2 linked regions of the Nothobranchius furzeri genome follow. The protein of the gene in region 1 purifies or fractionates together with the protein of each later gene. This does not show direct contact. Links are inferred from orthologs where the notes say so. Each region holds a gene or a part of one and is shown on either strand. Other genes may lie near its edges.

The links.
Region 2: the proteins of riok3 (region 1) and rack1 purify together in Homo sapiens (affinity purification with mass spectrometry; 3 studies listed by BioGRID and IntAct, counting the BioPlex papers as one, with this or other methods). This does not show direct contact. The link is inferred for Nothobranchius furzeri from reciprocal best matches to the Homo sapiens genes RIOK3 and RACK1.

What each region holds. Positions count from the first base shown.
Region 1 is NC_091747.1:64,130,467-64,145,366, reverse strand, and holds riok3 (serine/threonine-protein kinase RIO3), read left to right. Parts: upstream 1-6,426; 5' UTR 6,427-6,649; coding exon 6,650-6,685; intron 6,686-7,018; exon of another isoform or gene 7,019-7,137; intron 7,138-7,240; coding exon 7,241-7,356; intron 7,357-7,437; coding exon 7,438-7,580; intron 7,581-7,696; coding exon 7,697-7,804; intron 7,805-7,877; coding exon 7,878-7,987; intron 7,988-8,104; coding exon 8,105-8,248; intron 8,249-8,320; coding exon 8,321-8,448; intron 8,449-8,530; coding exon 8,531-8,713; intron 8,714-8,783; coding exon 8,784-8,943; intron 8,944-9,037; coding exon 9,038-9,118; intron 9,119-9,202; coding exon 9,203-9,292; intron 9,293-9,429; coding exon 9,430-9,543; intron 9,544-9,615; coding exon 9,616-9,729; 3' UTR 9,730-9,989; downstream 9,990-14,900. Other genes in the region: clavesin-1, read right to left, coding at 627-758.
Region 2 is NC_091741.1:97,225,940-97,241,242, forward strand, and holds rack1 (small ribosomal subunit protein RACK1), read right to left. Parts: upstream 9,359-15,303; 5' UTR 9,247-9,358; coding exon 9,138-9,246; intron 8,675-9,137; coding exon 8,503-8,674; intron 7,302-8,502; coding exon 7,154-7,301; intron 6,866-7,153; coding exon 6,770-6,865; intron 6,611-6,769; coding exon 6,500-6,610; intron 6,262-6,499; coding exon 6,121-6,261; intron 5,931-6,120; coding exon 5,820-5,930; intron 5,620-5,819; coding exon 5,554-5,619; 3' UTR 5,503-5,553; downstream 1-5,502. Other genes in the region: hnrnpaba (heterogeneous nuclear ribonucleoprotein A/Ba), read right to left, coding at 312-514; nme5 (nucleoside diphosphate kinase homolog 5), read right to left, coding at 1,637-1,714, 1,824-1,942, 2,027-2,127, 2,420-2,619, 4,428-4,562; col23a1a (collagen alpha-1(XXIII) chain), read right to left, coding at 15,025-15,075. UniProt on the Homo sapiens protein: Scaffolding protein involved in the recruitment, assembly and/or regulation of a variety of signaling molecules. Interacts with a wide variety of proteins and plays a role in many cellular processes.

The sequences.
Region 1 (14,900 bases):
GTAGAAGCGTTACCACTAAACTGCAAACGTACCTTTTTACTAACGATTGATCAATCTTTAGGCATTTGGTTAGGGTTAGGGTTAGGGTTAGGGTTGATCTTCCTCCATGTGGCTGTAGCGGATGCTGCTGTGGGTTGTTTAGCGCTTTGTTTAAAGGCACTTTATAAATAAAGTTATTATTCCCGTCAGCCACATGTGTCTTTTAATGGTTTTAGCACCAATTACGATAAAAAGCAGACGTATTTATTTACCATAAGACCTGAGGAACGTGGACGGCTGAGACCTTCTGTCCTGCGGTTCCCTGTTCTACCACTAGGGGCTGTTCCTACGTTTAATTGGTGCTACGCACTAATAATGATGATACGAGGGCCCAAGTGTTAAGCACGCTGGTCTACACCACACCTGTAGAAGCCACCTCTAGTAGAACATTTGACTACATAAAGGAGGCTGGAGGATCTCTAAAGCTACACATCGTGTCCTGTTGGAGAAAGTCTAGACCTAAAGACCTCAGGAGAACGTCTAAGCCGTGTAGGCCTCCCTGGGTCAGGGGTTTGGACTTTCCCGGTCTGATCTTGTAAACTCAGAGATCCCTGCTGCCTGTCGGGTGTTTCAGGTGCGTGGTGTACCTGCTGGATGTCCTGGTGGAGAGTATCTGGGTTTTCGTTCAGCTCTAGCCGAGCCTTCTCTGTGGTATCCGAGCCCAGACTGGTGTGAACGTGGTTCATCATGGAGTCTTGGTCCAATATTAGTCCGAACATCCAGAACGAGTACCCTCAGGTTGGTTTCTCCAGTCTGGAATCGGTTGGTAGTTTAAAGCCGATGGACCGTGTCTCTGTCTGTGGTGTCTGGAACAATCGTAGCTGCTGTTGAAAACGTGGAGACAATCAGGATGCGGAGAAGGTTTGGAGCAGCTCATGAACCAACAATCATCTCTGCTGTCTGCTCAGGAGGCCACGGCGGGGTAGAAAACTCGGAGTTCTGCTGTTTTAGAAAAAACCTGACTTTCACTGATCTCCTAAATCACCAGCTGGTTCAGTCCTGTGGGCGCTGCAGGTGGACTCACATCCTGTTTGTCCGGGTTCCTCCTGCTGACACAGCCTCCTCCTCCTGCCGCCTCCTGTCATGGCTCCCTCAGCCTTTAGGAGACGGGATCTTCTAACCTCAGAGCCTCAGGTGGAGCCTGGGTTGTCTCTTCAGCCCGTTCTCTGAGGGACAGTGCCGTGTCTGGCGAGGCTCTTTGGTCCGACATGAAGCTCCTCCTCAGCCTGAAAGACAGAAGAACGTGTCGGCATCACTCTGGTGAGGGCTTTATCTACAGCAGGGCTATTCAGTTCTGGTCCTGGAGGTCCTGATTTCAATCAGCAGGTGATGAACAGCTTCTACAGAACCTGATGAGCTGCCGAACAGCTGAATCAAGCCTGTTGAGTCAGAGAAACCACTAAAACATGCTGGATACCACACCTCCAGGACCGGAATTGAATACCTCTGATCTACAGTGACGAGAACATGGCTCAGGTCTGCTCTGGGTGTACTGGTCCATCTAGGTCGGGGGTGGGGGGCTGATTCAGCCTCTGAGATCAGGAGATGCTCCTCCTCATCAGGAGTCAGCTGAGGAGGTCCTATCTCCTGGTCTGGAGGTTTCTGGTCTTCTCCCATTGGAATGTGCCCCAAAACATCTCAATAGGAAAAGATCTGGGAATAGGCTGGATCCTCCCAGAAGAACTGGAATGTCTGGATTCTCCTGGTTCTGATCGCTTCATGGTCTGACCCTGGATGAGTGGAAGAGGGTGGATGGATGAATGGGTGAGTGAGTGAGTGAGTGAGTGAGTGAGTGAGTGAGTGAGTGAGTGAGTGAGTGAGTGAGTGAGTGAGTGATGGATGCTGTATATTTCTGAGCCTATCTAGAACATCAGCTGCTGAAGCAAACTGGTCTCAGATATTATGGGATGTTCTCTAGTCTCTGGTCTTCATGTCCAACCGTGTTATCTCATCTGTCCGTTGGTGTAAAGCTAACGGTCTGCTGTAAATGAGAATGAGTTCTCCTCCTGGTTAAAGAAATAAAAGTTCAACTGTCAGGTTAACACACACACACACACACACTCACACACACACACTCACACACACACTCCTCACATCCTGCAGCCAGACGTCCCACCGGGCTGAACTCACACACCCCGACAGAACCGAACCGGACTAAGCAGCCGTTTAATATCATGTCCGATAATGAATGTGACCGGGGGTGGGGGGGTGGGGGGGGGGGGGAACCTGCTCGGTGGTTGAATCCCGGCTGTCCTGCTCGGCCCAACGAACCTCCGGTAGTGGTGCTGATGCAGGAGGAGGCGATCTGCATCCCGCGGGAAAACCCCTCAGCTCTCCAGAACAGGACGGTTGTAATCCTGCAGGAGGCTCGTCCTTGGGAGGAGGAGGCGCGATTTCACTTTGTGCTTCGGGAGAAGACGTCAGGATGCTCCGATAGGATCATGTTTAGCAAGTAAGTCACAGCTTCCGCTCTGGACTTTCAAAATAAGACTGAAGATGGCCTTGTTTATTCACAGAGCAGCTTAGTCAGACTACAGTCAGAATGAGTCACTATAAACGTGAAATCAGACATCTGGACTAGAAAACACACCTGTTACAGTCACACCCAGGTGCCAGGATGTTGTTGGTCCTCTTGGTTCTGGTTTCAGTTGGAGGTGAGGAAACCCTCTCCTGTCATCTAACACATTCTATGTAGGCTAAAGGCTCTTTTGTTGTAACGCCTGGAGCTGCACGGTGGTGCAGGTGATGGCACTGCTGCCCTACAGAAGTAGGGTTGCAGGTTTGATTCCACAGCCACTGCCTTGCTGTAGACCATTGGCATGTTCTCCCTGTGCCTTTGTCTAACTGCTGACTCAAATGTTTGTCTTTGTGTCCCTGTGATGGACTGGAGACCTGTCCAGGTATCTCCCGTCTCAACCCTAGTGACTGATGGTGACTGACACCAGCTCCCTGTTACCACGTGAGCAGGAAGCAGTTCGCTAACGGACAGATTTAACGTTGATTTCAGGTCAAGGGGAAGGCGATATAGTCAAGTTGATCCTAAATATTTAATGTTTCACCCTAAAAGTAACACAAACATGTTTATTTTTACTTGTATTTGCAAAGTAACACTTTCATTTATCATCTTTTTCTTTTCTTTTTTTTCATTAAATCTTGTGCTTTTATTTTGAAATCCGCACCACCGGTTTCCGCTTTGATCCAGGAAAACTTCACACACCTGCACGCGCCCGCTGGTGACAGCGTTGATATGCGCGCTCGCGAACCAACCTGGACAGCTTGTGGCGAACACGCGCATTTACAGCTCGGTGTGTGCCTACGAGCACGCGCATAGGTGATGTAAGTCATATTCTTTCCTTTAGTTGAAGCAAATGTTTTATTATATTTGTTACTGGTCGGTTTAAACGAGTCCAGCTGTTTTCATGTGATTCAGCTGACTGCTGCCATGTTTATTGTGACCATAAATTAGTTTGTCTGTAGAATTTAATCATCAGAGCTTTTTATTACATTTGTCTTAAAAATGAGTTTAATGTGAATAAACTTTATTCACCACGCAGGTTTTATTGTTTTATATCAGAATTAAACTGTTTAAACATTTATGATGGGAGTTTTTATTTTATTTCAAAGATGATCTCAGTGATTCACCGCTGCGCAGTGGTTAGAGCTGTTGCCTTGCAGCAAGAAGGTCCTGGGTTCGATTCCCAGCCTAGGATCTTTCTGCATGGAGTTAGCATGTTCTCCCTGTGCATGCGTGGGTTCTCTCCGGGTACTCCGGCTTCCTCCCACAGTCCAAAAACATGACTGTTAGGTTGATTGGTCTGTCTAAATTGTCCTTAGGTGTGTGTGGGTGTCATCGACATAAATATACTGGACATCTCCTTTCCATAGGCTCCATCACGTTTTTGAGGCTAAATGGGAGGTGGCCACCACCGCCATTTTGACCGTGTCACAGGTTCCGTCAAGCCCAGACAATTCCACAAAAGGGAAGAGAGGTGGAGCGCACCACACTTAGGGAATCCCTGCCCTATTACATTTAAATGTCATGGTTAAACAGTACATGTTAAAATCTAAGCTCAGCTCGGCAGTGACCTAAAATACATAAATATAATTTTACTTACCGAAAAAAATGAAGTGGAGACTCCTTGGACGCTCTATTAGTGCAATTAATGCCACAGCAAGTCATTTTGTCCAACAATTGCACAAATAATATCCAAACAAGAATACACAAACACAGAGACTCAGAATCCCAGAACAGTTTCCAGGCCAGACCGAGGCTCTACTGAGGCCTTTCCACGGAGCTAGCTCTGTGGTCACGTGGGTCTGATGCTCATTAATTATACAGAATTTTAGGCTTTTAATACACTTAAACAGAAGAGTGAGAAAAACATTCACCCCCCTCAGAGTTGTCATGAGTGTAAACTAGATCATTTAAACCTAAAACATGTTCTGGTACCAGGCTGTAAACATGTTTATTTCTGCTGTGAAATTGGTATTTTTAACATGGGAGTCAATGAGGATTTGCTCGCTTCTGACACCAGCCCCTAGTGGACGAGGGTGGAACTGCAATTTATTCATTTCCGGGTTTGCCTCAATGTGGGTGCTTGGTGTGTGCATGGTTGTTCGTCCTGTGTGTCTCTGCGTTGCCCTGCGATGGACTGGCTCTCTGTCCAGGGTGTACCCCACCTGATTGCCCGTTGACTGCTGGAGATAGGCACCAGCCCCCCCGCGACCCTGCGTGGACAAGCGGGTTCAGAAGATGGATGGATGGATCTCCGTGATTCATTCTTTCTTTATTAACGCTTTCATAATGAGTTAAAGCATCAGTGCCTCCTGAGACCAGATTTTGGATTCAAGGCACAGTTGAAGTAAAAGCATTCTTATGAAAATTTAATTTGTATTTATTGTAAAAAATTTCTGTTGACATGAGAAAAAATATATAAAAACTCAGTGTTATTAATTAATAGGGAGCCTAAGCCCCGCCCATCTACTTCCGGACCACGGGCCCCCCGACGAACGAGGAGATGAGGCCCTGTCCACACGTAGCCGGGGATCTGCCAAAACGTAGATATTTTCTACGTTTTGGCCTGTCATCCACACGAAAACGGAGTTTTTTAAAAACTCCGGCCAAAGTGAAGATCTGCGTTTTCTCCGTTTTGGGTGTCTGCGTGTGGACGGACAAAACCGGAGTTTTAAGGTCCGCAACGTCACTTTCCGCGACATAAAAATGCTGACATCACGCGTGCGACCTGTGTTTACACTAGCCGACAGCATGGACGCCCTCAGAGCTGCGCTCGCTTTATCAATTGTCCAAGCGCTTTCTACTTGTTTGTTTTTGCAAGCGGAATTACTGATCCTTGCGGAAGACCACAGACGAAGGACGAGGTTAAGAACGGGGGAAGTACTGCCGCCTACAGGTCTGGCATGTCCTTAACAACGTATTTATCCGGGTACGTGTGGACAGAGTTTCTTTTAAACGAGGTGGTGTGGATGCAAGTTTTTGGAGGGGCGGATATTCATTTTTTTAGAAACCCGGCTACGTGTGGACTAGGCCTGAGTCAACAGGGCTAAAAACGCTGTTTTCTAATTCCGCCTGTTTTGTTCCATGGATTTCACACATGATGTCCGTAAATTTTAAACACATTTTGATACCATAACGCACTTATTTTCTGGCGAGGGGGACGTTATTTTAAGTTTTGTGTGAAAATAAGTTCAGGACTACAAATGCGCTTCACCAAAGCGACGTCATCGATCTAGACAGAGAAGAGAGAGAGAAAATGGCGGTGAATTCAGGGAACTTCAAATCTTTAATCCATAACAAATCTGGCCATGTGGTAAGCAGCTAGCTAGGGGAGATGAGACTCTGTGGTGACGTCACATATGCGACGTGCCGACGATTTCTGATTTGTAGTCCGTGTTCGAGATGAGCCAGTTCTGATTTGAGTTCAGATTCGATCACCGGTGATCGGCGCACTGCAGTGCATGCCAGTAAGATTTGTGTCAGACTTAACACCGACTTGCTCTGACGTCATGGCTACGTAGGCAACGATAATCTAGTGAGATCAAGGCGGCTGCAGATTTTGGAGCAAGGCGCTGCAGTTGCTCTCCAACACCTAGGGCATGATGGGAAACTCCTGGCTCTCAACTGATCTAAGATCTGATTGGCTCTCATTTTGATCCAAACATCCGGTGGCAGAACTCTAAATGTTAGTTGGTCATAAATCATGTTACGTTGATAACTATATAGGCCATGAAGAGAATATATAAAGTATATAAACACTGTTTACATACATCTCTGTGCTCTCGAACACGGACAGGGCGACTCCGGGAGGATGTGATGTAAAGTGTTTTATTTTGAAGGCAGGTTGGAGTCTTGTTGGGCTGTGACGTGTTTCCGGGTGTTTAAAGGTTCACGCTGTCCTGTGAGACGCCTCTACGTCGTCTTCAACTTTCATCCGTTTACAAACGTTTGTTACCGACTTGAGAACTTTATTTTCATTTTGCTGACGTTTACATTCTAGCTTCCGGTTCGGCTCTTCTCGTCTCGTTTTGTTTCCACAAAGTTACACCAGCGTTAGCTTTAGCGCTAGCTAGCCGACAGACCGGAGTCCCAGCCATGGATCAGCCAGGAGTCACTGCGGAGGCGCGGAAGGTCGGTACCGGTTGTGTCTGGCCCGGTTTTACACGAACGTGTCGCTTAGCCCGATTGGACCTGAGACGGAAGGTCAGAGCTGACCAGGCTGAACGTGTATGAGTTAGAAGTAAACGTGCTTAACTAGCTTAGCTCGGAGGGCAGATTAGAGATAAACGGCCTTCAGTTTGGTCACGTGGGAGTCATGTGGCCACAGATGTGTCCAGCTGTTTCGGTGTTGGAGTTATTTCAACATCCAATTAGAAAACGTTTAAATGTAACTTTAATATTCTGGTGTTTTATTTGAGCCTCTGCGTCCGGATGACGTCAGCTGTTTGAGGCGACACGCCCCTCTCAGACATGCGAGGACATGTCCCTCCAGCCTGGCTACGGCACTACTGTTATCTAACCGCACCAGCACCCCTCCCTCTGGCTCAGGGGTTGGGTAACTCTGGAAGTAGATTTACTGCAAAGTAATCAGATTACATCAGCAGTTACTTGTTATAAACGCCGAGGTTATCACTAACCAGACAGAACCATCTGAGCTGAAGCATGAAACTGACTCTGTTTCTCCAGAACCCGTGGGGTTGTGTGGGCCCGACGGCCCCGGCCTGCCCCCTGACGGAGGTGATGAGCGAACAGCTGGCCACACAGCTGGAGGAAGACAACAGCAGCTTCTCTGCTCTCACCGGGTGAGTCACCTGGAGCACGCCGTTCTCCTGTCCTGCAGCTACGATTCAGACTGTTGGGTCTGACAGCTGGTTCTGCTTTAGCCCAGAGGTGGACCTGCTGCTGGAGGACGGTCCCGACACCACCAGTGACCTGATGCTGGCCCAGATGCTGCAGATGCAGTTTGACCGAGAGTTTGATGATCAGCTCCGTCGGGAGGAGAGGAAGTTCAACGGAGACAGTAAAGGTAGGGTCGGGTCGGGCCCAGAACCGCTGGTCGAGCCTAGACGAGCCCAGCAGTTCTGGGTCAGAGGACCGTTCCCGGTTGGACTCTCTTCCTAACCAGGTTGTGTCTCTGTCCAGTGTCCATCTCCTTTGAGAACTATCGGATGGTCCATCCCTATGAGGACAGCGACAGCTCGGAGGACGAGGTGGACTGGCAGGACACGAGACACGACCCGTACCGAGCCGGTGAGGTTCCTGCATCAGGTCTAGAGGAGCCGTCTGAGACGTTTCTGTAATGTTTGTGTTCCTGATGATCCAGACAAACCTCAGACCACGCCCAGGAGGGGCTTCAGCAGGAAGGGGAAGAACATCACCACCAAACATGACGAGGTGGCCTGTGGACGCAAGAACACGGCCCGGATGGACAATGTAAGTCTCCGTCTGGATGGTGGTTCTGGAAGTCCTCTGGGTGTTCTGATTCCTGCTTTCAGGAAGTCACAACAACTGGATGTTGTTCTGTCTGTCCCCCGTCCTCCTGTCCTGCAGTTTGCTCCAGAGGTCCAGGTGGGAGATGGTCTGGGGATGGACCTGAAGCTGTCCAACCAGGTCTTCAACTCTCTGAAGCAGCACTGCTACAGCGAGCAGAGACGCAGCGCTCGGCTCCATGAGAAGAAGGAGCACTCCACCGCCGTACGTGTCCCACAGTCCGGTCCATGGACCGTCCTGCTGTCTGTCCCAACGTGATCTCGTGTGTCTGGACAGGAACAAGCCGTGGACCCGAGGACCCGTCTGCTGATGTACAAGATGGTGAACGCCGGCGTGCTGGAGAACATCAACGGCTGCATCAGCACCGGGAAGGAGTCGGTGGTGTTCCACGCCGATGGGGGCAGGTGAGCTGGGAGGAGCTGAACCTGCTGGGAACAGGATCTGAGGGGTTCTGGTTCACGTTTGAGGTGTGTGTGTCCCGTCCAGGCTGGAGGAGGAGCCCGTACCAGGTGAGGTGGTCCTCAAGGTGTTTAAGACCACGCTGAACGAGTTTAAGAACAGGGACCGCTACATCAAAGACGATTACCGCTTCAAAGACCGTTTCAGCAAACTGAACCCCAGGAAGGTGATCCGGCTGTGGGCGGAGAAGGAGATGCACAACCTGTCCAGGTACAGCCCAGGTGCTCTGGTCTGCCAGTCACAGCTGCAGCAGGTGAAACGTCTCTGTTCACGTCGCCAGGATGAAGAAAGCTGGACTTCCGGTTCCAGATGTGGTTCTGCTGAAGAAACACATCCTGGTGATGTCGTTCATCGGGAAGGACCACGTTCCGGCTCCGAAGCTGAAGGACGTGACGCTGAGCTCCGAGGACATGAAAGCCGCTTACTACCAGGTGTTACAGGTGTGTGTCTCACAGACAGGTGTGTGTGTGTTTGTAGCTGATGTGGAGTTGTACCAGGTAACATCCAGGTGTGTGTGTGTGTGTGTGTCTGCAGCTGATGCAGCAGCTGTATCAGGAATGTCACCTGGTCCACGCTGACCTCAGTGAATACAACATGCTGTGGTACCAGGAGAAGGTGATGATGATGATGATGATGATGACCTTCAGCCTGTAACCTTCATCCACTCATCTTTCTCTGTCCTGCTCTGATTGGCTGAAGGTGTGGCTGATAGACGTGAGTCAGTCCGTGGAGCCGACTCATCCTCACGGGCTGGAGTTCCTCTTCAGAGACTGCAGGAACGTTTCCACGGTAACGCCCTCCATAGTTCGGCTTCGATCCAGATGAAAGTAAAACATCCAGATGTTTGGTGTGGGACATCAGCTGAGTCTGTCCCGCTGGTGTCCAGGTAGACCCCAGGTATCAGGTGCCTCGTGTTTGTGTTTCAGTTCTTCCAGAAGCGAGGCGTGGGCGACGTGATGAGCGTCTACGAGCTTTTCAACGCCGTGACGGGGCTGAGTGTCCCGGTTGGAGCTGAGGACGAGGCGGATTTCATGTCGGAGGTAAAAGAGGGTCCTGGCGGGCGTTGAGCCGTGGTGGATACGAGGTGTTTGAATCATTCTGCTCTGTGACAGATCGTGGCTCTGGAGAAGCGGAACGAGGATCACATCCAGAAACGAGGAAAGAAATCGTTCCCGGTGACCTCTGAGGATGGAGGTCCTCCTCTAAAACCGGACACTGACGACTAACGCCGCCCTCGTCACCATCTGCTGTGTTCTGGAGACGAGGAGGAGGCTTTGGTTCCTCCACACCTGTCCGCTAACCCCACCCTCCTCCAACTGAGGGCAGAGTGGAACACCTCCTTCAGGCTGTAGGAGGAGAAGACTCCCTGATCAGGATGGTGGGTCCAGCTGGGACGTCATCATGTCCTCCTGCTTTACTGCTGCGTGTTTGTGTGAAGCTGCGAGTCAGGAAGTTTGTTCAGATTAATAAAATAATCTAAGTCAGAGGTGTGTGTGTGTGTGTGTGTGTGTGTGTGTGTGTGTGTGTGTGTGTGTGTGTGTGTGTGTGTGTGTGTGTGTGTGTGTCTGAGAGACCCTGCAGTGGTGTTTCTTCGGGGCGTAGAGGATCTTCTGTTAGAGGAAAATCTGATGTTTTTATTTTGATTCAATAAAACTTAAACACGACTTTTGTGTTTTGAAGTTTGTAAGCAAGCACGTGATGAATGTTGGTCACATGACTTGTCACAAGAACGCCACCGAACAGCCTAAACCAAAAACAGGTCTCTTCTCCAGCTGAACATGGTTTGGAAACGAGTTCACATGAAGGTGCGTCAAAGCGCGATACGCACGTTTAGTTCTGTGTGCTGCTACACAAGTTTCACCACAGTTGAAACGGTCTCTTATTGTGAAGGAGAAGGAAGGCTTGTAGTTAGATTTCCGGTTTCCGGTCAAACATCAGGAGCAGAACCGGCCAGGTGTGTGAGGATGGCCAACGAGCATTACCTGGAGCTGAAGGAGAACCCGGTCCAGTTCGAACACGCGTCCAGCGTCAATAACGTCTTCTTCGATGAAGCTAATAAACAGGTGAGCTAACAGTTAGCATCGGCTAAGCTAACCTGCTACAGTCGCGCGCCGGTAACCCCTAACCTCAACCCTGTAGGTGTTCGCGGTGCGTTCAGGTGGAGCCACAGGTGTGGTGGTCAAAGGGCCAGATGACAAGAGCAGTGTTGCCTTCAGGTACATCAGGAATCACCGTTTAGTTTAAGCTAGCCGCGTGTTCACCTGTAGACTCAGGTGAAAGACCTGCCTAACCCTGCTCTGGCTGCCGCTTTCCTCCTCAGGATGGATGACAAAGGAGAGGTGAAGTGCATCAAGTTCTCCATCGGGAACAAGATCCTGGCGGTTCAGAGGACCTCCAAGTCTGTGGTGAGTTCAGGAGCGTGTGGGATGTTTTTATTCTGACTTCCCTTTAAGGTTCTGGTTCTGGTTGTGTTTACAGGATTTCATCAACTTCATTCCTGACTACCCACACATGGAGTTCACTCAGGAGTGTAAGGTCCGTCAGCCTTTGGGTCAAACATCTCCGTTCCCTCCTGTTCCCTCAGTAACCCTCTGTGTCGCTCTGCAGACGAAGAACGCCAACGTTCTGGGGTTCTGTTGGACCAGCTGGAACGAGATCGTCTTCATAACAGACCAGGGCGTTGAGTTTTATCAGGTAGACCGGTGGCGCGCCAGACGCTTCTGCAGAGTCAAACTGTTGTTTAGATGTGGAGCAGCAGGAAATGTTCTGAAATGTGGGTTTCAGGTGTTTCCAGACAAACGCAGCCTGAAGCTGCAGAAGAGTCAGAACATCAACGTGAACTGGTACCAGTACTGTCCAGAGACGGCCGTCCTCCTGCTGTCCACTACTGTCCAGGGAAACGTCTTGCAGCCGCTGGCCTTCAGGGTGAGTCCCACGTCCTGTGTGTGTGTGTGTGTGTGTGTGTGTGTGTGTGTGTGTGTGTTTTCATAGTGAATATCCATCTTTCCCAGAACGGAACCATCTCCAAGATGTCTAAGTTTGAGATCGAACTGCCGGTCATCCCCAAACCCGCCAAACTCAGCCTGTCTGAGCGAGATGTCGCCATAGCAACCATGTAATGAGAGTAAATAATAGTTCCACTTCATGTGGATTGGGGATAACTCTGTGTGTGTGTGTGTGTGTGTGTGTGTGTAGCTACGGCCAGCTGTACGTCATGTATCTGAAGCATCACTCCAGGACGCCCAACAGCCCTGGTGCAGAGGTGGTTCTGTATCACCTACCGAGGTAACGACACACACTGGCCCGTCCGGACCGGTTCTGGTTGAGCTAACAACCAACCAGTTCCTAAATGAGCAGAAGAAAAAGATCAAAGGATTTCTTTTCCTTTGTTCTGAACCTGCAGAAGGAGTCACTGAGGGTCGGTTCTCACATGAAACTGTTTTATGTTTGGGACGTTACTAAACTAAAACGGTTGTTGGGAATGTTCTGGACTTCCTGCTGAGTCTGGTGGACGTGCTCTTGTGTCGCTGGACAGATGTTCCCTGTAGGGATGTTCCGTACATCTTTTTTTACTTCCAGTCCTTCAGTGCTGTCCGATACGATATCAGCACAAACATACGTGCCTGTACCTGCTCCGTAGAGTGGAACGTACACAAGGCTCGGTGCAGGGATTTACTGGCACTGAAAACAAGCCAGCGTCAGTAAGTGTAAAAACCGACCAGTGTTCCCTTAACCTTTGGTTGCATGAATGTGAACAGCTGAGTTTAGAGAGATGAGGAAACGCAGACCAACCGCTACAAGTCGAGTGAGAAAATCCTCAGTGATCCTGCTTCCAACGCACGATGGGGTTGGACGTGTTAGTCTGGTTCTGTTGCACCGCAGGAAACTTGTGCTCCCAGCCAAGCTGTCTGTCACACTCTTAACAAATACACAGCCACATGGGGCTAGCACACACTGTTCTGATCACCTGGACTTTGGATCTGGGAGCTGATGGGTAGAACTGCTGGAATGGAGTTTAAAGCGGAACGTCCTGCTGACATCGGAGATTTTTGATGCGTTCCGATAAAATCTGGTGTTTTTGGGCCGATGTTCGTACGGGAACGGGACATCCCTAGTTCCTGGAGCAGGTGTTAACAGTTGGAACTTGAGAGAAATGTGGGACGAGTTGGAGACCAGTCGGAGAATTAAATGAGACTCCGTTAGAAGACGGTCTAAATTGCAGGACGAGCTGATTGTGATGACATCATCAGTGATTGTAAACCTGCAGAGGTTTTGTGTCTCCAAACCGAATCTGATGTAGATCTGCATCGTTTTAGTTCTACGTACCTTTTCGTTTCAGTGAAGGCGCTAAACCTCCCCAGGTTCAGACGCTGGTTTGGGTAAACTCTCGGGTTAAAGGTTCGGTGGCGTTAGGCGTGGACATGCAGCACATGTCTGAGAACTAGGGTTCCCATCCCACATGTGGACCACAGGTTCTGCTGTGTTCTGCAGGGAAGGCCCGTGTAAGAAGAGTCATGTGTTGAAGCTGAACACAACGGGGAAGTTTGCTCTGAACATCGTGGACAACCTGGTTGTTGTTCATCACCAGAGTTCACAGGTCAGAACCAGAGGTTCCTTTCTTCTTACTGAGCAACAGTTTACGTGCAACACTGGGTGTTTCTCAACGTCGAGGCGCCTTGCTTACAAGGACACGTCCTTCCTTGGTAGAAGAAACAATTAAATGGAACATTCTTACCTCAGGTGACCATGGCAGTCGTGTCACATGAGGTAACGTTTTATTTTATACGTATAAGTTTCAGTATAAATGTCTAACGAGCCTTTTTAATTGTGTATAATTGGTTAAATTAAGTATGTAAGCGAGTTGGGACCTGCTAGCCACCGAAGCTGCTACTACTGAGCAACTAGCCAACCACAGCTAACTGCTTTGGATTGTAGGTATCAACCCGATAGCTACATTTAGTTGACGTACATTTAAACGGGAACTTTGCCCCTGAAGTCGCTGCCGGCGTCTGATCCTTTTAAAATGCCGCGCTGTTCTGTGAAAGTTTGGGCCAAGGCCAGGCTACAAGGCTTCTCCCATATATCCTTGCTCAGCTAGCTAAACGGCTAACAAACAGAGAACAGACGCTTGGCACAAATACTGGGACACGCCTTGGCGGTTCCTGATGACGTATCTCCTTGACAACCGGGGTGGGACCAAGACATCCAGGTGAGGTTCTTGACATTGAGAAACACCCTTTGTCTTCTGTGCTGTCCGATAAAACTAAACTACACCTGATTACATCACTTCCTGTTTGTCCGTAAGACATCACTGATCTTCGATATCAAGCTGAAGGAACCGGACTGTGCCGTCAACACTCACCAGCCTGTCCTACCAGCCCGGTCCATTCACCCATACAGGGTATCTCTGTCAGGTACACACCTGCTCCTGGGGGGGTTGGGTGTGGTGCGTTTGTTTCTCACTCTGATGGTTTGTGTCCCTGCAGGTCCGGTTGTGGTTCCATCTCAGCCTCCGGTGCCATGTCAGCTTTGTATCCTCCCTACGCTTTACACAGAAATTTCTGCAGTGGCATCCCTCAAGGCAGTGTCCTCAGTCTTCCCCGGTTCTGTTTTGTCTTGCCTTAGCAGTGAGTTTATTCTGATTCATGCTTGTTTTCCTGACCTTTTGAACCCAAAGATTCTTCATCCTGGAGTGTCTTCCAGCCTGACATCATCATCAGCGCCAGTGAAGGTGTGTTAAACACGAACAAATCACTAGATGTTTTAAAGAGTCGAGTCTCATCAGAGGACTAGTGTCTAGTCGGTCTAAGATTGAGTTCAGAGTCCATCAGATCCAGTTACTGATCACAACGAGCAGTAATCCCTCTGGGATTAATAAAGTTTTATTGAATTGAATTTAGCTGTGGTTAATGTCTGCTCATCTGTCTCAGGTTACCTGTGGTACCTCCAGGTGAAGCTGGCTCCCATGGTCCACCTGTTGGAGGACAAAGGGAAGCTGATGGACTTCCTTTTACGTCGACGGGACTGCAAGTTGGTCATCCTGTCGGTGTGTTCACAAAGTAGGTCTTCTTGTTCTTGATGTTTTTTACGTTAGCGCCACTGCTAGCATGCTCAGAAACCGCTGTCAGGTGCAGAAGAGCTAAAACAGAACCTCCCGCCGTTCTGGAGTTACAAATGTCGGCGCTGCAACGTTAGATAGGGCTGCAGCGTGGTGCAATTGTTGGCACTGTTGCCTCGCAGCAAGAAGGTTGCAGGTTGAAAACTCGGCTGCAGCCTTTCTATGTGGAGTTGAACGTTCTCCTCGTGCATGCGTGGGTTTCCTCCGGGTACTCTGGTATCCCCACAGATCACAACATGCCCTATAGGTACGGTGTTCTGGATAAAAGCGTCTACCTAA
Region 2 (15,303 bases), on another chromosome or scaffold:
TCCCAACACATCTGTTGACCTAGTGGCGCGTGGGGGAGGGGGCACCTTATGGTGTTATAGCCTTGAGCTACTTCATAAATATGATTAGAAAAATCTATGACGTTATAAACGAGTAAAATGCCCATTTATGTGTGGATTCTGCAGATAAGTCAGTGCTGTTGGATGCCATTCCCTCCGAAACGCCCATCCCCCTCCACTCTGCACATGGCGCCAACAAAAGGCCGGCTGAACAAAGAGACATTTGTAAAACAAGATCACGTTTTATTGTTGCCCACTTCATACAAACACAACTTAAGACGTGCAAAACTCACCCGGCATCTTCTTCACCTTTGCTGGCGTCGATTTGGCCGCCATCGGAGCCTCCATTTTGCGAGTCAGTCCCCGCACCTTGTCCGCAGTCAAGCTCGGCGCCGCCATCGTCCCCCTCGTCAGTGTGGCCGGCTCCGTTAAAATCATCGTCGACTTCATGGCCGTTCTCCGATGTTTCCATGTACTGTTGCTCCGCCTCAGACATTTTTCACTAATGCACCTAAAACCACACAGAAGAATTACCTAGTTTTTTGCACAATAAGCGCCGGTGTTTCCACAAAGCCTCGCCACTGACGTGGTGCCACTGCGTGCGTACCCCACCATTTTGGCCGGCGAAGCCGCGTACGCACGTAGCAGTACTTGGCCGCTTCCTCACAAAACCCGTTAACTAGACGCAATCTATCGTACACTTCTGCTGAAGGGCAGCGATTAGCAACGCTGTTGCCCTCTGTGTCACACAGATAAACCAAGGCTGGACTATGCAACTAAAATTCGCAGTTACGTAAGCTACAGACAAGAGGCCGTAACGGCACGAAATGTGGCCTCGTGACGCGGTTAACACATTTGTTCAACGTTGACCTGAACAAATATGGAGGGGCAACACAATACCGGACTGTCTAAGCGTCAGTCTTCTAAAACACGATCAAGCTATAAAAATATAACAGTACTTACTGGTCGCACAACCAGAGAGCTCTCTTCAAGATGGATTCTCCCACACGACGCCAACTCGTGGTTGGTTTTTCAGCACCGGTAGGGTGGGGGAGACAGTTCTGCCAAGAGGCAACGTGATTGGTTAAGGCAAGCTGTCAATCGCAGCATCACCCAATCACAATGCGTCAATGTCTCTTTCGTCCAAGTCGTTCACGCCTTCAGAACACAGGAAGGAACTCGATGAACCTTTTTTCAGCTGCTAAAACTTGTGTATTCGGTGGAGATAGCCACGCTGTCGATCAAAAAAATAAATCCTACAAACTGTCAGCTTTGACCCACAATTATTGCTTTTCACTCAGACTCCGGTGGGGTTTACTCCAGAGCAGCAGCACAATCTGTTTTGATGAATAAAATGGCCAAAACAGTGTTTAACGAACATGGTGTCTGTTTTAACCACGTAACCTCTTGCATTCAATTATTTGATGGGACATTTTTCACTGATTTAATCAATGATGCAAGATGAACTCATTGGAGAATAAGGCCTGAGATAATTATTATATAACAGAAAAATAAAACATGTCAACTGCTGAAAATCCTGTTTATTATTGTACACCAACAGACTGAAGAGTTTGTCAAAAGCAAAACCACTGAACCGACTTCCCTCCTTGTTTCTCCATCAGTCTTCCACAGTGTCCTTGTCGCATATCTGAGGCTGGTTTGGATTGTTTTTCAGAAGCCAGTCAGCTAGCCAGATCTGTTGAATACAAATATGCAGGACAGAAATCAACATGTTAACAATAACCCCTTCAACAGCAGATGAATAATATTTAATATCTTTCCTCACACTGAGCATCAGTCCTTACACAGGGGTTCAGAGGCTTTTCCTTGCAGAGTTCAGTGAGTCCCTTCAGCAGGGCTGGATTTACATACTGGTTCATGTATTCTTCTGTTTCACATCTTGAAGGAACATGTTCAGCTATAGCTACAGAAAGAGAGGATAAGGGATAGATCACAGTCAATAGTAATTACCTTTAAGAATAATCGCATGGGTGAGAGAGGAACATACAGTTTGGGAACATGAATTTGATCTCCCTCTCAGCTTCGTCACACGAGTCGCTGCCGTGGAGGGCATTTTTCAGCTCAGACGTTCCATATTTTGCTCTGAGGCTAAAGGCAGAATAGAAACTAAAGATTTACAGCTCAGACCAGTAGCACATTCACAAATGAACTCAAGGTGAGCACATAATATTCGGAAAAATGGCAGTGGGTTTTGTAGGTACAAAAGAAATATATCAGGGGAAACGGTATGCAAAAATTGTCGGTATGTCTTAATAAATTGGGATGTAAGTAGAAACCTGCCTCAAGAGGACATTTAAATCCTGAGTCTTTGTAAAAAGACAAACATTGATTTTACTACATAAATGCTTTTTTTCTACTGGCAGAAATATCTGCGATTTACCATTCTGGGTGGGTTTCTCTGGCTTTGGTAGCATTGGCAGGCCCTATAAGGGACTTCCAGTGGGCGATAGCATTGTCACGAGCCAGCATCAAGGCAACAATGGGACCAGAGCTCATGAAGGCCGTCAAACTGGGGAACATGAGTGTCTGGTCTGCGTAGAAGTCGTGGCATTGCTCTGGACTCAGCTGCAGCCTTCTCTTCTGCCACAGAAAACAGAGCAGTGGAGTGAGTGAACCACTGTGGTGGAAAATAGAATATAACTTCAAAAATATTAAGCTAGTTCAGACAGCTCAGATTTGTTTAAATGGACAAGTGACACTGTGAAGCTCTCACAGACATTATACTTCAACTTTTCATGAATCTGTCTAAAGCAGTTCTGTACAGTACTGCAATATCTGACAAAAATAGAACCAAGGGGAGCAGTAATTTCAATTGTAAACTGTAACAATGTTTTAGAATAGAATACACTTTATTAATCCCACTATGGGGAAATTAACTTTCTACAGCAGCGGCGCATATGCTTAGAAAAGGAAGAAGAAGAAGATCACAGGTAAATACACAAAGGTATTATTGTTAGCTTCAACAACTAAAAACCACAAATAAAAAAAGAAAAACTTGGATTCCAGAACTATGCAGCACAAGGGACACAGACATGCTGATGTACATCAGGTATTGCACAAGTATTGAACTCATACTAAATATTGCACAGATGTTATTGTGTAACAGGATAATGCCAGTACCAGTTGATCTCAGGAGTTTTACACTCTTACTGCTGAGGGGATGAATAACCTACAGCAGCTTTCTGTTTTACATCTTGAATGTCTCAGTCTGCCTCTGAAGGAGCTGTCCATGGCCTCCACAGTGGAATGCAATAGGTGGGAGGGGTTTTCCAAAATGGGAGGTCCTTTTGCCCACCATCCTCCATTCACATGTCTCCTCAACTGAAACTAGTTGGCAGCCCAGAAGCGAGCTTCCAGTCTTGGTCAGAGCTGCCTGCACCCCAACGAAGGTGGTTACATTCACACCGGTCCACAAAGTCCATTGTGACTGACCTGTACTCCAGGTCATTCCCCTCAGACACACAGCCGACAGTGGTTGAGTCATCTGAGAACTTCTGGAGGTGACAGTTGCTGGTTTTGTAGCTGAAGTCCAAGGTATAGAAGGTGAATAGAAAGGGTGAGAGCACCATACCCTGTGGAGCTCCAGTACTGCACACAAACACATCAGACATATAGTTGTGCAGCCTCACGTACTGTAGCCAGTTGGTGATAGTTGATGGTCCATGCAGTCAGATGTTCAACCACTCCTGCACCCCTCATCTTCTGCTGCAGTAGACACGGCTGTATGGTGTTAAAAGCACTTGAGATTGCTTTTTTGCATTTTGAGGTGAGCCAGCACCATCGACATATACCCAGTGCTGCAGGTAGAGGAGGGTGTCTTCCACCCCCATGTATATTATTTGGTGTGTAGCTGCACACATTACAGTTCACTGTTTTAGGTCTTCCACTAACTTGTCTATGCAAATTACTGACAGGTCATGGTCAAGAGTGAATGTGAAATTTCAGTCAAAAAATATAAGTAATCTGTAGTATTTAACATCCACACATTCCTAGATCAAATGGTTGACATGTTTCAGTTAACAGCAATAAGTATCTTTGAAGTGCAATTAGTAAAAAAAAAAAAAAAAAAAAAAAAAAGAAAGAAAAAAGATGTACAGAAACACCATGCAGACATTCACCTTTAAACGTTTAAAAGGTGTCTTAATAGGGTTTCCAGTAAAATTACAGCCCGTTACTGCCCTCTACTGAAAAAACTACGTAAGAGCCACACGGCCTCAAAAAGCGGTCACCTTTTGAAGCCATGAAGCGTAATATTTGAAACCAGATCGTAGGATGATCAATGGAAATCAGCGTTTATCGGGCATCTAAATAAATCTATTTTAATAAAAATATCTTCCTTCCACAAATATTGAAAACGCGCCTCTAGAAAGTAGGTGACTTCCACTCACCTGAAGTATACTGAAGCCAGATTTGACGATAACATTCTCAATCTCATCTGCCAGCTGAAACGCGTCTGGCTTAATGACGGCCAGCGTTTTCTCTACGATGACACGGTGATATGGCCTTTTACGATCCATCTTCATCTGAACGCTAAATGGCCACGAAATACGGCTCACGCAAAACTTGACTATGTAGCAGTAAACTAAACAAGGAACTCCAACCTGGAGCAGCACTCTGGGCTCGTTCTGTCGACTAGTTGCTAGGATACAATTACGGCGTCTGAAGTAGGACAATCCATGCGAATTGCAAACGTCAGTTGAACTTTCCAAATTACAAGCCCCAGATTTAGAAAACCACCAGTTAAATCAAAATTTTAATGACCGGTTGTCCCATGGTTTTTTTTTTGTGTAATTTTAATTCTGTATTCCATTTCAGATTAGCAGCCAAGATTTAATGTACAAGCAGTTATTTGAACAGTGTTAAAAAATAGAAATGTTTCAGACTTTAAATCCCATTTCACTTAATAAAAACTGGTCCAAGCTGATAGGGATGTTTCCATCCTCACAGCAGAATCAGTTCAATCTCCGCTCAAGTGAACTTTTGCAATTTGTTGTTCCTAAGGTTCGCAGAGCTGGGAAAGTCGGCTTTTAGCTTTGCTGCTCCATCAACATGGAATTCACTACAAAAAGATCTAAAAATCAAGGATTTGGTTTCCTTGAGTGGATTTGACTGATTAGGTCACTGGAATCCAGACCATCAGTGTGTTTGTTTTAATTGAGTTTATGTGGAAATGTATTTAAATGTGAATGTATTAATTTTGTAACTTGTGCTGCTGCTCTGTCCGTCTTGGCCAGGTCTCCCTTGCAAAAGAGATCTTGTATCTCAATGGGACCAACCTGGTTAAATAAAGGCAAAATAAGTAAAATAAATAAATACAGAAACTTAGTTTTCCCTAATTTTTCAATCATTTTTTCACGTTACTGTTGATCATTGTTTCAGCAGATTTTTTTAAATCGATGTGATCGATGTTCCCTTTTGATAAAAAACAATTTAACAGTCAAAATTAAATACAAGATCAAAACATTTTATTTTCAAAGAGTCTCTTTATTCAAAGCTGCATTAGCAAGGCTGTTCTTATCGTGTTCCAATGGTGACCTGCCACACTCTGATCAGGTTGTCAGTGTAGCCAGCAAACAAGGTCTGTTGAGTAAAAGAGGAACAGAAGTTAGCATCCATAATAGCACGCTTTTCAAAAAGGCTCAATCATGTGAGTGGTTCTCTGGTGCCCCTCATATTTGCAGGACTGTCAGCAGAATTAATCAGAGTTAAAAGTGAATGGGTATAATCACAGGGGTCACAACAGAAATCTGCATTTAAAGGTCCTCCAGAGAGTGTCGTACCTGTCCATCAGCAGACCACGCCAGGGAAGTACACTGTGGCGGTTCTGCCTTGCTGTTCGTGCTGATCACTTCCTGTTTCAGTTCATCCACAATGATCTTGCCCTCCAGATCCTGAATGAGGTAAAAGAGAACCAGAGTGATGGTATCTCTAACCAAGGTAATAAGTAACATACCTGAATTTATTGACATTCTCTATTGGGTCGGAGCTCAGAAACAGCCTCTGATATCATCAAACAATACAGCTAACATTTTAAATTTCATCACAGTCCTCCTTGATAACATGTTTAGCTTAACATCTTACCCAGATCTTGATGCTGGGGCCGGTGGCGGCACAGAGCCAATAACGGTTGGGGCTGAAACAAAGGGCGTTGATGGTGTCACCACTATCCAGGGTGTACAGGTGCTTGCCTTCATTCAGGTCCCACAGCATGGCCTGGCCATCCTGAACACCAACAGAAAACATTCTTCAGTGATTACATCGCAGCTCTTAACACGATACCCAACCCCACAAACGGGGATCGTGACAAGTTCAAGTCGTGCTCAGAAACAGCCTCTATTGTCATCATTTTAAAACAGATGTATGATTAATTTTCCATCATTGCAAAAACTTGTCCGTTCACTTAAAGATTCTAAAAAAGAACATTTTACAGAAATCTACAATTACTGGAAGCAGATGTTACCTTTCCACCAGATGCACACAGAGAGCCATCAGGGGAGACGGTCACTGTGTTCAAATAGCCAGTGTGACCAATGTGGTTGGTCTTCAGCTTGCAGTTGGCCAGGTTCCACACCTGAGAGGCATCACACCCGAGACAGAACAAACATCAACATCCAACATGGAAGCTAATCATAAAAAAGGTTGTCTTACGCAAGTAGTCAGCTAATAAATGCAAACTAAGTTAAACCATCTAACCAGGACCAAACATTAGCAAATTACTAGTAAACCATACCTTGACCACCTTGTCCCAGCCACAGGAGACAATGATGGGGTTGCTGCTGTTGGGGGAGAAGCGAACACAAGACACCCACTCAGAATGGCCTTCATCCTGCAAAATCAAGTTTGAACAGTTTAAAGTTCAGCTCATCCCAACAATGGCTCACTTTAGCTCATGTAACCACCGAGACTTATTCCATGATCCTGACACACTACACACTTAAAACCATCATACAGATTTAGTCCACAATGCTCCAGCTGATGGCTGAGCTGTGTGCTCTACCTCAGAAAATGTAAAACTAGTTAAAAAAAAAAAAAAAAGCTTGAACAAAAACTAAATGAAAACCAAAGAAGGAACAGCTCTAAGCAGCAGCAGCAGCAGCATTAAGTGACAGCTCACCTGAATGGTGTACTTGCAGACTCCAAGAGTGTTCCACAGCTTGATGGTCTTGTCTCGGGAGCCAGATACAATCTGACGGTTATCAGCAGAGAAAGCCACACTCAAAACATCCTTTGTGTGTCCAACAAACTGACGGGTGGTGGTGCCACTAGAAAAACACAAGATTAAGACGTCCGATTAGAATAAAGCTATATTAAGTTTACAGTTTAAAATGCCTGCCCTCCTCTACTAATTATGGCCTCTACAAGCTACAGTCATTTAAGGAGTTAAAACAGTTTTTTTCCCCACTTGTATTCAAACAAATCACTTTAGTACACAAACCTTAATGCCGATCAATGACAATTTTTTTTAGGTTCAGTTTATATCGGGTTCCAGCACTTTAGCCAGAATCAAATTCCAGCTCCTCACTTAGATGATTAAAACTGTTCAAACATGGACTGTAGTTTTATTCCTGTATAAACCCCAAACCCATTTATTTAGATCTACTGTTCTCTTAAGTCACAACTAAGGAGTGTATAAAGTGATGAAGGTGTAGTAAGGACAATAACACTGTGGAACAACAGTGTCGGGTACAAGAAACTGGGAGAATTTATTTTATAGGATCTCTGACAAACATTGTAATTGTATATAACTGCATTTTTAAATGTCTGCTGTTTATTATTTAGTGCGAGATTACTGAAGTTCTATCTGTGGTACAAAACACTAGTATAAAAAGCTGTTGCACGGTCATGTACACGCAAATGAAGTTTGTTCACCAAGATTGGGTTTACACATGGTGTAGCTTAACTAGATGTCATTTCCCAACTGTTTTATGGCTTAAGTTATGTTCCCTGGCAACTTGGTATTTAGAGGTCATAAGTGCTGAAATGTTTGTAGCTCTAGTAACAAATACGCATTAGCGCGGACTGTGTGTTAACATCGGTTCAAACACATTTTCATTTATAGAACAAAGGTGACAAATCATATCTTTAAAACTATCCAGGATGTTTGTTACAACTTAAATTTAGAAAGGACATACTTCCAGCTAATACAAACATGCAAGTCTTTACCAACTTACTTATTTCTAAAAAGAAAAGCATTAACTAGTTTAAACTGTGTTCCACATAGATGCTTAGATGATGCAGATCAAGGGTCAGCAACTTTTTTCCTTGAGGGGTACCATCCTGCAAGTTCCACACGTTTCCTGCTCTAAAGGACCCAGATTAACTGATTTCATCACAACCTTCCTAAGTTGACTTCTCTAGATGCTCTCACACATTTAAATATGTTGGGAGCAGGTAAACGGGTAAAGAGATATATTTACAGGACAGCGGATCTGATGTAGAAGCTTTCTTCCTAGCTGTACTTACGTGGTGAGGTCCCACAGTCGGAGGGAGCCGTCCCAGGCGCCTGAGAGAGCAAACTGTCCATCCGAGGAGATGACAACATCACTTACAAAGTGAGAGTGGCCCCTCAGAGAGCGCTGAGGGATCCCATAGTTGGTCTCGTCACGAGTCAGCTTCCACATGATGATGGACTTGTCTGAAAGTTTAACACATAAGGTTCAGGACTCAGGAGTATTGCCTAAAGCAAAGAGCAGGTAGGTAGCATTAGCATGCGAAGCTAGCACTTAAGTTAATATCAAGTTAATATCACATTGCAGCGCTTGGTTCAAGGCCTTATAACCTCATGTCAAGTAGTCTGATGTTTAACTGGATGAATCAGTGTCGGTGCTATGTTGGTGTAAACCCAGGAGTGAAACACAGTAGATCCAGCTAATGACGCTAGAAAGCACAAGTTTAACTACACCAGGTTTCCTCCACTTCTGAAGTCGCAAATGTTCACTATAAGCGATTAATGAGCCTTTAGGCTGTTGTAATCACATTTCAGCGGTCTTCTGCCACTTCCGCAAAAATCGTATTTTTGTAACATTACCAAAGAGTCACTGCTAGCTTACAAAGCTAGCTGTAGCCATGTTGGCGGCTGCCGGCGGGGGAAGCCTCACCTCGGGACGCCGACAGAATCATGTCGGGATACTGAGGGGTAGTGGCGATCTGGGTGACCCATCCACTGTGGCCCTTCAGGGTCCCCCTCACTGTCATCTGCTCGGTCATTTTGACGAGGTTCGGTGGTGCCTTTTACAAGGATGGATTCGGATATTTCTCAGGTTCGTAAAAACCTAGGTCCTCATCGCATCTAGGCACGGAGGAAAAGGAAGTACAGACCCGGATGCAAAAACTAAGAGGGGTGAAGGGCTCGCAGAGCATTCTGGGATATGTTTTTTTCCCCAAGTCATCCAAGTGTGCTACAAGAAAAGACTGAAGGGGACTGTTTAGAAACATGATAAAACATTTCACTTACAACACATCACCATTATATATAAGTAATACACACTGATTTGGTTATTGGTAACAGCTGTGCACATCCCTGATATGTTTCTGTCTGAATGAATAAAGGAAATTAAGCTCTTACGAAACATAGCACCAGTAAAATAAAATGTCTGTGATGGACACAAATTTTCTGATTTTAGAATATTCTATATTTTACAAACGTCCGTATTTTTTATACTTTATGTTACACACACACACACACACACACACACACACACACACACACACACACACACACACACACACACACACACACACACACACACACGAGCTTTAATCCCATAATATTTGTTTCTTTTCATGTGAAAGGCGGCTTTAAAGTTGACGCCTTGATATATTTTATACCAGGGATGTCCAAACTTTCCTAGATAAGAGCCAAAATCAGCAAGTTAACTGTCCTTGTAGGCCACAACATATACATTTTTTAAATGCTAAAAATATTTATTCTTGCATTTGTACTCCCTAAAATTTGTCAAAATGGACTATTAAGTTTGAACATACAATGTTGGGGGGGGGGGGGGGGGGGACGACAGTGACATAAATTGCTCCAAGGGCGACAAATGAGGGCCACATACATGCCTGCTCTATACTTGTGTACTGATTAACAAACAATCTTTAAAATTTGAATTTTCATTTCATTTCACTTTATTTGTAAAGTCTCTTGTATTTATTTATTTATTTATTTATTGGTTCTTTTTTAAACACAGAGAAGAAAACTTTTCTTTCCTGTGTTTAAAAGAGAACCAAAAAAAAAATACAAGTTAAAAAGACCCAGAATGAATGCACAGAAGATTGTAATGTCCCTTCCACAATCTCATCAAACACCCAAGGTGCTGGACAATACAGCAGGCAACAAGTACAAATAAGACAATATAAAACAACCATAAAAACATATAACCTAATAAAAAAAGGCCAATTACAGACAAGACAATGATGCCACGCTACAAAATAATTAATGTTTTATCTCACATGTTGAACAACATTTGGAATCCTTCAATTTCCAGGCTTTCTACTGGTATGTTTTATGAATAATCTGATATTTCTATATGTAAACTACTGCACAGCTACACTATTTCAACACTGTTACATTAGGCTGAAGTGAGAATATTGGTAACAGTGTTGTGTGCTTAGAAAAAAATTGTATGGTAAGCCTCCTCTCACTGTAAGACTTGATCATCCTAGCAGATGACGTTTTACTTTCTAAAACATGTCATTTTCAAACTTCTTTAGTCATTTGCTTTATTTTACTAAAATAAAAGTTGAAACAGCTGACTAGAGCTACGGCCACAGAGTAGTATGTGCCTGTTGAGTCTTTTGGTCTGAGGCACCAGATACCAAGTGAAGTGTGGTTCAGGTGGTGGAGGAAGAAAATACCTGCTGGAAGGAGTTTGATGAGGCCATGGAGGAGTTTCATACTTTGAGAAGATTCTGGTCCACCATTTGATGTCTCAGGAGGGTGACACAGCTGCACCACCAACACTGTTTATGGTGGGGATGGTGTACTGCTGACCTCCACTTGGGATGTTGTGAGTCAGTGGAAAGAGTACTTTAAATACCTCCTCAATTCCACTGGCACATCTTCCATTTAGGAAGTGAATTCTGGGGGTTTGGGCTATCAAGTCTCTAGTGCTGAGGCAACCAAAGTGGTTAAGAGACTCCTTAGTGGTAGGGCTCCAGTGGTGGGTGAGATTCGCCTGGAGTTCCTCAAGGCGCTGGATGTTGTGGGACTGTGTTGGTTGATGCGGCACAGTAAATATTGTGGATACTGGGGGCAGTTCCACTGGATTGACAGACTGGGGTGATGATCCCCCTATTTATAAAGAGGTACTGGATGGTGTGCTCCAACCACAGGGGGAAAACACTCCTGAGCTTAGCAGGCAAAGTCTCTTCAAAGGATCCAGAGACAAAGGTCCCCTGGATAATCAATCAGATTTAGGAGGAAAATGTGATATTCTCCTGGTCTGTGGAACACTAGACCAGCTCTATACCCTTAGCAGGGTCATAGAGGGTGCACAGGAGTTCATCCAACCAATCTACGTGTTTTGTAGACTTGTAGACAGGGCTTAATTTGAGCCAGATCTTGCTGGAACAAGATCCGGGAACTATTTTATTTTGAAAGGCAACTGTCTGCTAGGATTCAGCAACTCACGTGACAAACTTGTGCTATACGCAACATTCGAAATATGGGTGAGCTAGAGGGAGCTCCTGGAAGCCCTCAACTTCTGAAGCAGGGGAACTGTAAAGATGCAAAAACTACCATTGTTAAAAGAGATGTGTGTTAACTTAGAAAATGTGGGCGCAATTTTAATTACTAGTCAATTGCTGGCCATTGTGGATTTCACTTCCCATTTCCGCCAGTATCTCCTGGGGCAGCCCTTTAACCCTCTCAGGCTCAAAATAAGTTTTGATAAAAGGACGAACAACTAAGTCCTTCAGGGGTACTTCTAAGTTAAAAAATGCTCATGAAATATGTATGTGGAGCATCAGGTAGGTAGGTTTTAACATTGCAAATCAGCAACGCCTGCCTCCACAGGGTTAAGGTGTGCACAGACCATGGAAGCCTGCATTGGCTTACAGAGATGAAAGAGCCCGAAGGACAGTTAGCTCGTTGGCTTGAGAAGCTTGCCAAATATGACTTTGAGATCGTTCATCACCCGGGTCGGGTGCACACAAATGCTGATAGTCTTTCCAGAAGACCATGCCACCTGTCTAGCCTATGCAAACTTCCGAACCCATCTACACATTTGGCATTCCAGTGCAGCTTGGATTCTGATGGGAGATTTCTGTTGCTGAGTCCAGTGGGGGTGGAAGAGCGACCGGCGGGCTGACACAACAGTCTGTCCAGTGGGGGTAAGTCAAAGCACCCCTACACCCAACACAAATATTCTAGAGTCTAGACCAAAACACTTCCACACATACAGACACAATACATCAGAACATTCCCACTGATTCACGTGTTGTAAAGCAGACTGAGAAGGTACATGTGTTCCTTTGTTTCATGGTTGGACCATGGGGGACTTGAGCCAGGCCCAGGATGTTGATGCAGATATTGCATCCATTCGTGCCTGGATGGAGGCCAGTAATGAGCGCCCCCCGTGGACTGCTGTTTCACTTTGCAGCCCAGCCACTAAAATTTATCGGACTCTGCAGTAAGTTGGGCTCATTCCCATGAGTTGGACTCTGTCCAAAGGCTACCCTTTGTCACAGATTCTGCTCCTAACATCTATGGACTGGATTTCTAGGCACAGCCAAGGTGTTGAGGGGATCTGTTTTGGTGGCCCAAGGATCAGTTCTCTGCATTTTATAGATAATGTGTTCCTGTTGGCTTCATCAGACCGTGATCTCGGCCACAGGTGAGTTTGAAGCAGCCGGAATGAGAATCCCACCTGGAAATCATAGACCATGGTCTTGAGTCAGAAAAGGGTAGAATGCCTTCTCCTAATGAGTGAGGGAAAATGTAGTGGGCGATCAATAGGATTGGTGTTGCATCTAAAGTGATGTGGGCATTGTAGCGGTTTCTTATGCCGAAGTGAGAGCTCAGCCAATTCCATCTTTGGTTCTTTTCTGAACACTGAGTATTAGAAATGTTATTTACCTTCTTGGTGACAAGTTTGGGCTACATCTGTAGCCTTCTTCAGAGCGTCACCAATGATGAAAACGGCTACAGATGTAGCCTAAACCTGTCTGTAAAAAGGTAAATAACAAATATCTATCACTGTGTTTGGAAAAGAACAAAATAATGGAATTAGATAAACCTACACAGACAGAACTCTGCTCAAGCTGCCCTCACGACCAAAAAGGAAAAGACACATTAGCATGATAAAATGAAACCATAACACTTTAAAGTTTATTTTTGTCTGCATGTTTACGGACCAGATTTTTTGTTTTACTTATTTCACATATATATTTATATTTGGACAAGTAATTACAAAAATAGCTTAAATCTTTTACAACCAATGAACACAACCAAAAGTAAAAACATTCACACAAAGTTTAGCTAATACTGTTGTATTAAGATCTGTTACAATGTGAAACTCCAATCAGACACTGTGCCATGAACGTACTTCAATAAACCAACATTTTAAAAAGGAGCTGATAGAATCTGTAAAAGAAATAAACACATATGAAGATATGCAACAGATAACTACCGTCTGACACTGAAATACAGCAAAACTTGATCTTTAAATCGTCTTCAGTTATACACAAGTGTTCAAATAAAATGTTTCACCCATCGTGTACGTTTTTGAATTTGTTGATTTCAGCTTAATATCTGAAACACTCTTTTCTAATAAACAAATCCTCAATAAACTTAAATTAAAACAAGACTGATACAGAAATTATTTAGCAAGATGAAATAATAAAAAACATAGAATCCAATAAAACAGCAGAAATTAGAAATCTGCAGCATGACTGAAGCAAATCCATGAGGCTCCATCAGAGTAACACTGAATAAGGAAAGCAGCAGGGCCTTTATTTAAAAATCTACCTAATCTTCCATCAATATCCCTGTGGATCCTGACATAAACGTTTATCAGTACCAACCAGAAAGTGCACTTGTTGCAGATTTTTATATAAAATTCTGCATCTGTGCGTGCCTTTTCTAAGTGGTTTCATAAAATAGCTTTGAAATTAAAGAAGCACCAACAGATTTTCCATCCGAGAGAAATGTGTTGCAACACCCAGGTAAAAAAACAAAGGCAAAGACTTTTCTGAGAGCAGTTACAAAGGTTTGTATAAAATGCAAAGCAAATGACAAGTTTAAGGCACGCTGCTTAGTGAAAATGAATTATGAACTCATAAAAACACACGTTTCAATCAAATTTCATGTTAGTTTCAAAACAAATTGAAGTCAGCAGCAACAAGTTCTACTGTTGTCCAAAACAGGCTGGAAGCAGAGATCAAACACACCTTCCTTTGATGTTAAAACACTAAATAATCAGTCAAAATGCATCAGATGAGGGTGATTATTTCTCAAGGCTACAATGATTGATCAGTAATACTGCAAATGGTTCCTTCAGACCTGCCCTTTAACATTCATCGTCTGCTTATATTTAAGGAAAATTTCAGGAATGCAAACTGGAACTGGAGAAAAATGGAAAAGAATAAAGCAATATGTTTTGTTTTGTTCATTGTGGTGAGAGTCACACAATCTGCATGCTAAACAACACGGGGATGATCATGCATTAATAAAGTCATACAAAACATCATTGTGACACGTCCAACATATCTCCACGGCAAACTCCTTCCTTATGTGCCAGAGACTCCCAAATAACTCAAATCTGTAAGAGCAACATCATCAGCAACAGATCCCGCCTCCCCTCTGAGGTGTGTGTGGAGCTCTGTCGCCCCCTCCTGGACCGATTCCACAACAGACGATCTGAGTGTGACGCAGAGGCATCAAGATAGCAAGCTCTGTTTCAGAAAAAAAGCCAGTATGCTCTTTAAGGTTTCCCATTTCCAGTCCTGTGCTGTCCTCTTCCTCCGACAGGCTCCACCCCCTTCTCAAGGCTGAGAGAGACGCTTGCGTTTGAGCTTCTGCCTCGCCATTTCCTCCTTTTTATAGAAAACAGAGGACAAGAGAGCACTGACAACACACACCTCCAGCTGTTCAAAACAAACCAACAGAAGTCCATTCGTCCAACCATCCATCCATCGCTGAGAGCGGCTGAGTGCACACACATCACACGTCTCCCAGCCGTGGTTACAACAAGTTTGTTAGTGAGGCACTCTTCTAACCCCAGCACGTCCGCCTGGACTGTCCTTCAAACCCAAAAGTCCCAC